2 linked regions of the Caenorhabditis elegans genome follow. The protein of the gene in region 1 interacts with the protein of each later gene in a biochemical or structural test. Each region holds a gene or a part of one and is shown on either strand. Other genes may lie near its edges.

Region 1 (3,998 bases):
AAATACGAAATAATTGGTGTAGCGTTAAACATATCGGAATGATCCGGTTAACAATTAACATCAGAAAATTCATACTCCGATTGGGAATCCAGTTAGTTCGTCCGTTGTTCGTTTCCCTGGACGGAATCCGGCTCGCCCAATCGCAATCGACTTTTTCATGATTGGAAGGGTTCGGAGTCTCCAATAGCGCAAGCGCCCCTCACGAGTGTTGCGCAGGTAGTTTGCTCGGTGAAGGATCTGATTGAAATCGACTTGATCGACAACTCCTAATCCGCGGAAGACATCGATTCCACCCTGAAATTACGGTGCTTGTTGCCATTTGAAGGAACTCGATTTTGGGAATTTTTGAACTTATACTTTCAAAATATCCTCAAATGAATGAATTTTTTAATAAACTTTCGCGAAAGTTTTTCAATATTTTTTTGTGGCGGTTCAAAATTTTCGCATAAAAATGGCCTAATTCGGACGGAAATTGAAATTTTGTAACCTATTGGTTGCCTATCCGCTTGAAATTTTAAACTTAAAAAAACGATGTAAATGTGCAAATTGAGTCAATAATAAAAAAAAAAAATTTTTGGGGATTTAAGGCTAATTTACAAACAAACACATCTAGGTCTTTTTTCGAAAATTTGAACCGTCGTAAACACAATTTGATCGGTACCCTTTTCCTTTAACATTGTGTAAAGCTAACCTGAAGCCCAAGAGCTGAGGTCTGGACCAGAAGAATGTCCAACGCGAAGATCGTCAATCCGATGAAGACGATTATGGAACGCATTTCCGAGTTGGGAAAGTTCGAGAATAAAAAAGAATAAAAAACGGGGGTATAGTGAGCACAACTCGATCGGCCAGAATTTATATGCTTTTTGCTCTGTTACATCTAAGGCGGAGCAAAACGGTTAAACGACCGGAACCGGTGAATGTTTTTTTTGGAAAACGTTGCTCTCGGTTTTGTGAACTCATAAAGTAACATGCGAAAAATTGCACAAAAACTACTGCTTTACACCCACAATGATTTGTTCTCTGGAAACGTGGGTTTCAAATTAGAATGATAAAAGTTCCTTATTCTAGTGATCAGTGATGATTACTCATGTCTTTGCTATCATTTCATACAGATACTTTATTTGATTCACAAGTAAAAATTAATGTTTGTAGAAATTCCAAAAATTATTTACTCCGAGAAATCATTGCGGTAAAGAGGATAATAGCTCTCTGCAAATGGCATTGATCGCTTTCCGCGGTTCCATCCAGCTGCAAATGCACGCTTCCCTGGGCGCATTCCAGCTCTGCCAATTGCCATTGATCGCTTTGCTGGCCGGAATCCTTGACGACTGATATAAAGACGCTTCTCCATAGTTAGTGGCTCCGGTTCTTCATCGGCATAGATCTCATCTTCGTCGTTTGGGATAACAATCATAGGGGTCGCCAAGTCGACAGCATCATCTTGGTCTAGGTCATTAGAATCTAAAAGTTGGGATTCGTAGGAATCATCTTTAGACGTTGGATGTTCCTGAAATGTTCATTTGCTACAATTACATAAAATGATAAAATAAGTAGCTCAGTTCATATGAGCTCACCGAGTAAAAACCCAGCTCCAAAGCATGAGCTGAGACTCCAAGAAGTGCCATCCAAATGACGAGGTGAGCTGCCATTGACTTTGAAAGTGATATCAGGTGGGACTGAGGACATCCTTCTGCTCGTCTTTCTTTTTATAGCACCTATTAAGAAAACGTGGTCTTGTAGTCCGGAAAACTGACACTACGATATTTTGGAGGATCGGATTTTTACGAGTTTTTTAACGATTTCGTAAAGGGACTACACTTCTACAATAGAATACAACGACTATAGGTGTATCTAGGAACTAAAAACAATTTTTTTTGAGAAGTTTAGAAATTTGCTCATCTGAGCACATTTTGGGTACATACATTCAAAATTCCAATACCTCCTCATCAGTGATAAAAAGGTCAAATGCGGAAAAGCCTGGAAGAACTGCGGAAAAATTGCCACAGATTTGGGTTTTATAGGCGGCTAATTATAATTTAATTTTGGAATTGGACAATCTGATTTCCCTTCAAAATATTTTTTTTCTTAACAATTTACTGACGACGAGCTGAAGATGATACTATCCCACGTCACTGATGTTTTTCCAACTAGAAAAAAAAACGTTTCCATAATGAGCTGAACATCGATCAAAACAACAGGGTACCCCTCTGAGAATTTTTTAATTCAGCTTACACAAAAAAAAATTGCGAACCGGCATACATTTAGTACAGTTTTGAATAACAGTAGGCAGTGAGTTTTTGCATTTTTTGAATTTTTGAAAATTTTTGAAAAAAAAAAGGTTTCAATATTGTCAGTGCGATTACATATAGAATTTATTCAATTGTATGGAGACAATTTTTTGGAAGGCTAAAAGAAAAAGAGCAAATTTTAATCGGACCCATACGTGCCTTCAAACTTGGCACACTGGTAGTGGACACATGGCTCAACAAATTGATTTCAACAAAATTTTTTGAACTGACCTACATGTTATATTAGTAAATCTGACTTTATATTGCATAAAATCCCCGATCAAAATAGTTTGTGATTCATATTCACCCTGTCTGAAACTTCTTTCCGAACCATTACTCTCTGAAACTGGGCTCTAAAAAACTCTAAAAAACAGAACACGATTTCATTCCGGTAATCTGGCTGTGTTTGTACATAAAGTATCAGTGATGATGACGGTGAATATTACAAAGAGATCGATTCAAATTAGTCGGAGCAGGTTCTCTAGATTATATAGATTTCTGGAACGTGTTGTGGGAAGACCTCCTTCATGTCATTGCTTCTCTTTCCTGGCCGGAATCCTTGACGACCGTAGGCCATTGAGCGCTTTCCTGGCCGGAATCCTTGCCGTCCATATGCCATGGATCTCTTTCCCGGCCGGAATCCTTGTCTGCCGTAGGCCATTGAACGCTTGCCCGGACGCAGTCCCAATCTTCCCATTGCCATTGATCGTTTCATGATGAGATCACTGGAAAATCAGCAGGTTTTGTTTTGCACAAGCCAAACGAGGCTTCAAAGTTACCTAACATCCACAGTGTGAAAGTTGTCCATGCTCCGTTTTCCAGGGCGGAATCCGCTTCGTCCGAGAGCAATGCTTCGTTTGCCCATTGCTCCTTCAGTGAACTCTTCCTCTTGTTTCCATTCATCTTCATCTTCAGAGTCGTACAGTTCGGGAGAGTTCTCAAGGACAACCACATCGACAGCCTGAAAAACTTTCAAAGTAGAAACCAGTACAGATGCTACTGGCAAAGATCCACTAACCGATGATTCGTCAGGACGATAGACCTGAAGCGGAACTGCTTCAGAATAAACTGCGCAGAGCAAAGCAAAAAGCACGAGGGTTGCTCGCATTTCTCGCGTTGTTGGGAGCTGAGCGAGAATAAGTGAAACCGAAGAAAGAGCTCGGGAGAGAGAGAGAGAGCTGAAAACAATGAAGATTACAGTAGATGCTTATCCAAATTTATACGGCTTTCATAATATATACGGGGCGGAGTTATAACAATATAAAGTACCAGTGGGAATATTGATAACGAGAATGCGGCAAGACGCGAATCAGGCGAAATGGGGGGAGAGAATGGGAAGAAAAACTGAGGTGTATCGAGCCGAGCGGGTGGGCGAGTTGCGTGATTGGTTCTGTATTCAAAATGACGTTGGTCAGAAATTGGAAGAGATGGGGAAAATGGTCACAATTTTTGAATAGTGCTCATAGTGCGGAACCGATTTGATTCAAGGTAACAGCTATGAAACTGCAGAGCAAACAGAAATTAGAAGCATAGTACAAATCTGTACAGTATTGGAAGTCTGCTATTCGAAATGTTGCCCAGAAAACTATATACGGTTTGTATACTTTATGTCTTAAATACGTATTAAGTTTTTATTAAGAAGCACTGACAAAATTGGTGTTTTGACAAATCGGAAGTAGTAGGTATCCAGTTATTAGTATAGTAGACAAT
Region 2 (6,717 bases), 7.7 Mb from region 1:
TGTCACACAATTTTAGAAACAATCACTGCTATGAATGTTGATAGTTTTATTGAAACTATAATTGTAGATACAATAATTGTTGGCATAAGGTGATAGAAACAACACGATTCATGAAGAAAAAAAATGAAGAGATCACGATGATTCAAGATCTGACAAGGGTTATGCGTGTATCATTTCCTAAACAACCCAGACAAAAATGAAATGATGAGAAAAAAAAAGAGCCAGGGAGAGATGAACGAAAAAGAATGGGAGTGCAGACAGAGAGCAGAGTGTACAATAAAAAGGCAAGGACAGGTGTTGGAAAGAAGAGTAACCTCTAGACAGGTATATTACTACTGCAACAACGAGCAATTAGATTATAGTGCTGTGGCAAGATTTATTGCAGTTATTTGTATGTAGTGTGGTGTCTGGATGGGAATTTGGGAAAACACAGGTCAAACAACAAAAGAAGGGGATTGCAAAAAAGAAACAAACCGGAACAGAAAATGATCAAAAAATTTCATTTGATCTGTAAGATTTTATAGTTTTCTCGGGAACAAATAAAATATTTATTTCCTTGAGATTCACCGTTTTTCCGAAAGTTTTTAGTTTGAAAGATGAATTTTATATGGCTTCAATATGCAAAGTGTACTACCATGCATTTGGGCCAGATTCCAAAAATTTTCACGAGAAGATATTTTACGAATAGGAATTGTTTTTTTTTTAACATCCATAACTTTCTCCCAAAAAATGCAACAACACTTTCAAAAGAGCACACTCAGTTTTATTACCATAAATTAATTTTTCTCAGAAGGGATTATTCTTGAAAACAGAGGAATGTGCTACATCACATAATGTACATCTTCGCATTGTTGGTTCGACAAAAGTTTTTCAACGATCAGAAGTTCCAGTTTGTTACATAAAAATATACACGAAATATTTCAAATTGATGGTCATTCCTCAGCATCTGCCAGCTTTTCCGTCAAGTGATCCGGTGCATCTAAACCTCATTACTTTTGGTGTTTTTGAGTCGATTTGCGACGCGCGTCTGTTCTCGAACCGTGGCGCGTGTACCTCGAGGCGACACTTGGGAGGAGTTTTGTTCTCGGTGTGCGCGATTTGCTGCGGCAACAATCCGCTGGGCCTCGGCTTCCCGGACCGTCGTCGATCGGCGGATAGACCGACTTCCTGCAAAGTGATGCTGATCAAGATGCGAAAAATGTAGTTCTAGGTGGTGGTGGAACAGGTCGTTGTTGCAAGAAAAAGAGAAATGTGATTAGAAGATAGACGGTGTGATAGTGTAATTAACAATGTCTAGTTCTAAAATCACACCACCTGCGGGGATTTACTGCAAACTTAATCTAAAAAAATTTTTTAGGAGAAGAAGGTCACTTTAATTGAAATGTGAACGTTCACAAATTAATAAGCTGTGTTTCTAGTCTCTTTTTGTATGACGCCATTTCGACAACTGACGCCATCTCATCATAAATTGGTTGATCAATTTGAGAATATCATGAACTCTATCTCAAATGATAAAAGACGTAAATACGTGCAGTTTGATAAATTTTGTTATAGAAAATAACCGGTTTCCAGAAGGGGAGTTGAAATTAACCACGTGATTAGATAAGGGCTTTTGAAGTGAGAGAGTGTCGGAGGTAAAGAGAAGAAAAACACTTGACCGTCATGCATACCTCCTTACCAGCAGTGTCCATAGTACTGCAGTAATACGAGTTTCTTTTTGGCTCAGTGCCAAAACGATATAGGAATGGATTGATGCACGTGCTAAATAAGAACAATTAGGGAAAACTATTAATGAATGTTTTTTCCTGAATACCTTGCTATAATAATTGCCTGTAACCAATTCAGTTTGCTCACAATTTCCTGGCAATTTTCAGAAACACAGACAATTCGAAGAAGAGCCAAAACCTTAAAATTCACGGTATCTATAACTGAAACGATACTTCAAGTTTGCCTACTTGATATGGAAGCCATGTGAACAGGAACGTACAAATAATTGCCACAGAAGCTCTGAGAAATCTTGCTTTCGTGTTGTTCGTTTTTTGTCCACTTTGTCCTCCGTCCTACAAATATGTTTATGTTTTTTAATTGTTACGTGTATCGAATTGGAAAAATAAATGAAGTTAATTGTATGAATTTATTTTTCCAATTTTTAATTTGATTATTTGTTGGTTTTTAGTGTAACTGTTTTTGCATAATTTCACAACAAAAAATCATCAGTGATACATATTTGTTTGCTTTAATCTGCTTACACCGAATAAAATAACTATTTTGTCATTAGAAAATACCAGGTGTGATGATTTCAAGCAGATAATTGTTTGTTAAATTTTTTTTCTTTTCTCAAGGATACAATTGATGTGTTATTCCAGTAACCAAATCAAAAATGTTATTAATAGTCATTCTATACCCAAAAATGAATTTCTGTTTTCAGATATATTTAGATCATACAGATCATAAGATCACTGGAAAAAAATAAGACTGTCTATAACAAGTTAGTCACTCATGAGTTACGTTTCCACATTTTTTAAAGCACTTAAGAGTTCAGCTTCCATTTTTAAAATTTATAAAATTTATAAGCCAGAAAATGTTAAAAAAGTTGAATTTTTTCACTGAAAGTTTTGGTGAAGTAAAAAAGTAGAACAATTTTGGCTTCTCAGAATTTCATCGAGAATGTATCCTTAGTTTTCAACATTTCCGTAACTTAGGCTCCTCCACTTGAAAAGTTAGATTTTCAAAATTGCATTATACCTGTAATAAACGACGTTCCGCCATTTGTTTCCGTATCGATACCCCGATAGCCAAATAGCATATGATAACAATCAACAATGGAATGTAAAACGAAGTTATGACATGAAACAGGTTGAATGCAATTAACACATCATCATTGAATACCTGAAACGTTATATGTTAACAGAATTCGTTTAGATATTACAGGAAATTGACATACATCAGTTCTTGGGTAGCATTGATACATATCTTCATCGTTGATCTGAATGGTTCCACGCAGAATGCTCATTGGTGATGCACATACAACTGCAAAGCCCCACGCAAGAGTAATAAGCCAATTAACTCGGTTTGCCCCTGTTCGATAGCTGCTCAGTGGAGATCTGAAAAAAAAAACTATATAAGTCAGTGATTCCGATATAGAGTACTTACGTAATACAGCAAAGCATGTCAATTGCAATAGCTGCTACCATGTTCGACCAAAGATGAAAAGGCAGAGCACAAAGAAAACTGAATACTCGACACATAATGTCTCCTAAAAAACAATAAAATTATTATTCAAATGATTATCTACACCTTGAGTCCAGACGATATTATATATCCAATAACTTCTCCAGATCCCGTACATAAAAAGAACCATTATGTGGGCAATAAGTAGCTGTCGACTAAGCTTGACCAGTCTGGACTCCACGCCTCCTTCTCGAACATTTCTGAATATACAAATAAAATTAGAAACATGAACAAAAAATAAACATCAAAACGATGACTGTAATTTTTAATCAGTTTTGTAATAGTTTGGCACGTGAATAAATTATATGCGCGGCTTAGGTTATGCAGGTACTTCAGTAAACTGTTTATCGTTCGAATTTTAAATCACGGATAGTCGAGTATGCAAAAAGGATCTGCAATTACTTAAAACCCCCCGGTTTCTTGGAAAATAGCCTTGCAGCTCTCTCTATTAATATTGCAGTGCTTAAGACTAATAAAAATTAGTCTTGCATGCAGAACTAACATAAGATTAGTTTAACTGACAAACCATTTGCAAAATGTGAAATTAGCTATTATTACTTTTATAGTGTTAGAAGAGTATTAGCTCTAGCAACACTTACCGACTTGTTTTGACAAAAGCAAAAATATTGATTGGAGTACCAATTATGAAAAATGCAAGCTGGTAAAACATTTCGATAACTTCTGAAGTCGAATGCATCATGACAAACGTATCCGATGTTGAGTTGTTCATTTTCTGAAAAGTTTCACAATTGGAATTGTAGTATAGTGTAAGTAATGAAAAAAAACTAGCAAAAAGAAGTGAGGTGTCTTTGCTGGTGACTGTCCGGAAATGAGAAATGAGTGAGATGTGGTAAAACGAAAACCGAGATAGGAGGGGCTTGATTATACAAACTACCACTTTCGGCATACAAAATTGCGTTTTTTTTTTTCATTTTTGCGAAGAAATATGTAGTATTCATCGAGCTGGTAAATAATACGATGCCATGACAGATGTTACTACTGCTAAATGATACGGTGGCTGGAGTGTTAAACGAAAAACATAGAAAAGTGTGAAAACAAGAGAATAACTCCAGAAACTATTTGAATCCAAAGGATTGTCAGAATCAACCGGCGTAGTTTTGCTTTACAAATATGTTAGCTTTAGGCAGACATAGCAATATTGGCGTGAAAACTGCAATTATCGTCGATGAAAAGTATTTTTCTTTATAAACAACAATATTTGGAGCTTTCCAGTCTGATGTAAACTTTTGAACCTGTGGTGAAATCACAACTGAGAAAAAATATAGTTTTTCAAAAAATTAGAAATGTTTGAAAGTTGCTTTGGAAAATACCAAAGGAAAAACATTTGAAAGATCTTGCTGAGACTCAGTCATGCAAATGTTTAAAAAAAACCAACAAAATGCAGTATTTAAATGTCCAGATGCAAAAATGCTTATTCAATTTGCCATCGCATTCATAATTTTACAGTATTGGTTATCTCAACAAGTACCGACAACGGTAATTTAAAAATATAATATTTATTATTATTATTACTTCTTAAATTTTCAATAAAACCGACATAAAATCTATTTGGAGAATTAGCAACTGCAGGAATCAAAGTAAAATGGTTAACAATAATCAAAGTTAAAAAAAAAAACTTGAAACAAATCCTATTGGACAGAATTTTTTCACAGCAAAAACCATTTGTGCATCTATTAATTGCTAGCACAGTATTCGGAAATGTGTAATGTTGTGATTACAAACATATTAATGATCGTTGAAAAAAACTTGATCATCGTTAAAAATTACATTACAAACAAAGTATCAAATTAAAAGTGGAACTACTAACGAACTGAATGAAATCTCTCTTATGAAAAAACAACGACCCGCAACATCGCATTGTAGGAAATTAGAAATATACATTTTCGTGATGTATTTGGTTCTAGAAACCATTTGAAAACTACATCATATTTATGAGTACGAGTAAGTGGAACGGAAAAAGAAACTAGAGAAACGTATAAGTTCTGAGAGCTCGTTTCTCCCGCTTTTAATCCTAATGGCAAAAACCGACAGTTTTTGAGAACATTCAAAAACCCATTTGGCAGTCTTGGTTTCCAATAAGTAATCCACCCAGAAAACTCATAAGATTTACGATTTTCTCAGAAATGTTCCGTGTTTCTCAAATTGGAAAGTATTTAAAACACTATAAAAAGATCGAAGTGAATAAAGTAGGGCTTCCATGTGAGAGCGGCGCGGCGGCGGCGCCTCACGCCGGCCTCACGCCGACCGGCCTTCGCAGTTATATTTTCATTCATTTGTCAAATTTTGTTCATTTCGATTGATATTTCATACTAAAATGCACGACAAAAAACACATGTACCAGAGATTGTTGAATACAGATATAGATGTAACCAAAGAAAATGTGTGTTCCATTTCAACCGAGAACCCTAACCCATTGTTCTCTTCCTTTTGATTTAATATTTTAAACCACTAGAGTTCAACTTTCTAACTTTTGACCTTTACCCCTTTCTTCACAATTTGATGTTCGGTCAACCATCCGAACCTTTTTCTTAATTCATTGAGCTTGGAGTTTAAAACTCAAACTTCGGAGATAAGCGAATCATCTAATCACAAATTCAAAATCAACCGTTTCCAACAATCCTATTCTCTTTCACTCCTGGTTTAAAGTTTGAAATCCGCTGTAATTTGTGTCCGAAGAGTGACACTTATCCTTCACAAACTCTCAGATATTACATTTTGAATGGCCAGTTGCGTATTGCAATGTATCATTTCGAGATACCGCTGACCAGGGCGGCTCGTGTTTGCCCTTGTCGTCGCACTTTCATTACTACCTTCGCTTCTTCTTACCCCTGCCGCTCAAACTGCGTGTTTCCACCATGAAACCTATACTTTTACCACTTCTATTTTTGTACCTCACAGTATCTCAGCCAATCTCGGTGGTTCGAGAGCCGAAAGCACGAATTGTGCCAGAATTAGATATTATCTACGTGGAATGGCAATCAGGATCGCAATCACAAAGTAAGAACAATTTTTTGCAATAAGTTAGGACATAAGACTTTAGAAACCTTTCTTCAATTGCTTCCCTAATGTGGAAAGTGGAGGCAGTTTTTTCAGAAGTTGAGTAAGTATGTACAATATCTTTAGATATGATAATTTAAGCGTTCCGAGTTAAGCTTGTCAATGAAATGAATCTCCAAAGCATTGATTTTTTCTTTTCAAATTTTCTTATCACTTCCGATAAAATAACTGATAAAATTTGAACAATTCAGCATTTTTGTGAGAACAAACAAACAAAACCTAGTTTTCAGATACAATGTACACAGTTCGCCATAAATCTGAATCAGAACAAGCGGCTTGGAAATATGTAAAAACTGGAGAATCAAGTGTTCGAATCCCTTTGGGAATCTACAATGACGGCGATAGTGTTCACATTCAGGTAGATTTAATTTTGGAAAAAATATGATATCCACTTAAAAATAAAAATGT

The links. The genes of interacting proteins can lie anywhere in the genome.
Region 2: the proteins of nlp-23 (region 1) and gnrr-3 interact in a test that uses a peptide from one of them, tested with the Caenorhabditis elegans proteins (one large-scale study listed by BioGRID).

The regions. Positions count from the first base shown.
Region 1 is NC_003284.9:2,341,290-2,345,287, forward strand, and holds nlp-23 (Neuropeptide-Like Protein), read right to left. Parts: upstream 1,671-3,998; 5' UTR 1,650-1,670; coding exon 1,575-1,649; intron 1,508-1,574; coding exon 1,169-1,507; 3' UTR 1,102-1,168; downstream 1-1,101. Other genes in the region: nlp-22 (Neuropeptide-Like Protein), read right to left, coding at 70-294, 692-775; nlp-2 (Neuropeptide-Like Protein), read right to left, coding at 2,770-3,013, 3,068-3,249, 3,307-3,396.
Region 2 is NC_003284.9:10,046,704-10,053,420, reverse strand, and holds gnrr-3 (G-protein coupled receptors family 1 profile domain-containing protein), read right to left. Parts: upstream 3,962-6,717; coding exon 3,831-3,961; intron 3,432-3,830; coding exon 3,298-3,431; intron 3,257-3,297; coding exon 3,154-3,256; intron 3,105-3,153; coding exon 2,945-3,104; intron 2,890-2,944; coding exon 2,746-2,889; intron 2,061-2,745; coding exon 1,956-2,060; intron 1,906-1,955; coding exon 1,814-1,905; intron 1,762-1,813; coding exon 1,671-1,761; intron 1,168-1,670; coding exon 940-1,167; downstream 1-939. Other genes in the region: ZC374.2 (Fibronectin type-III domain-containing protein), read left to right, coding at 6,108-6,249, 6,540-6,667.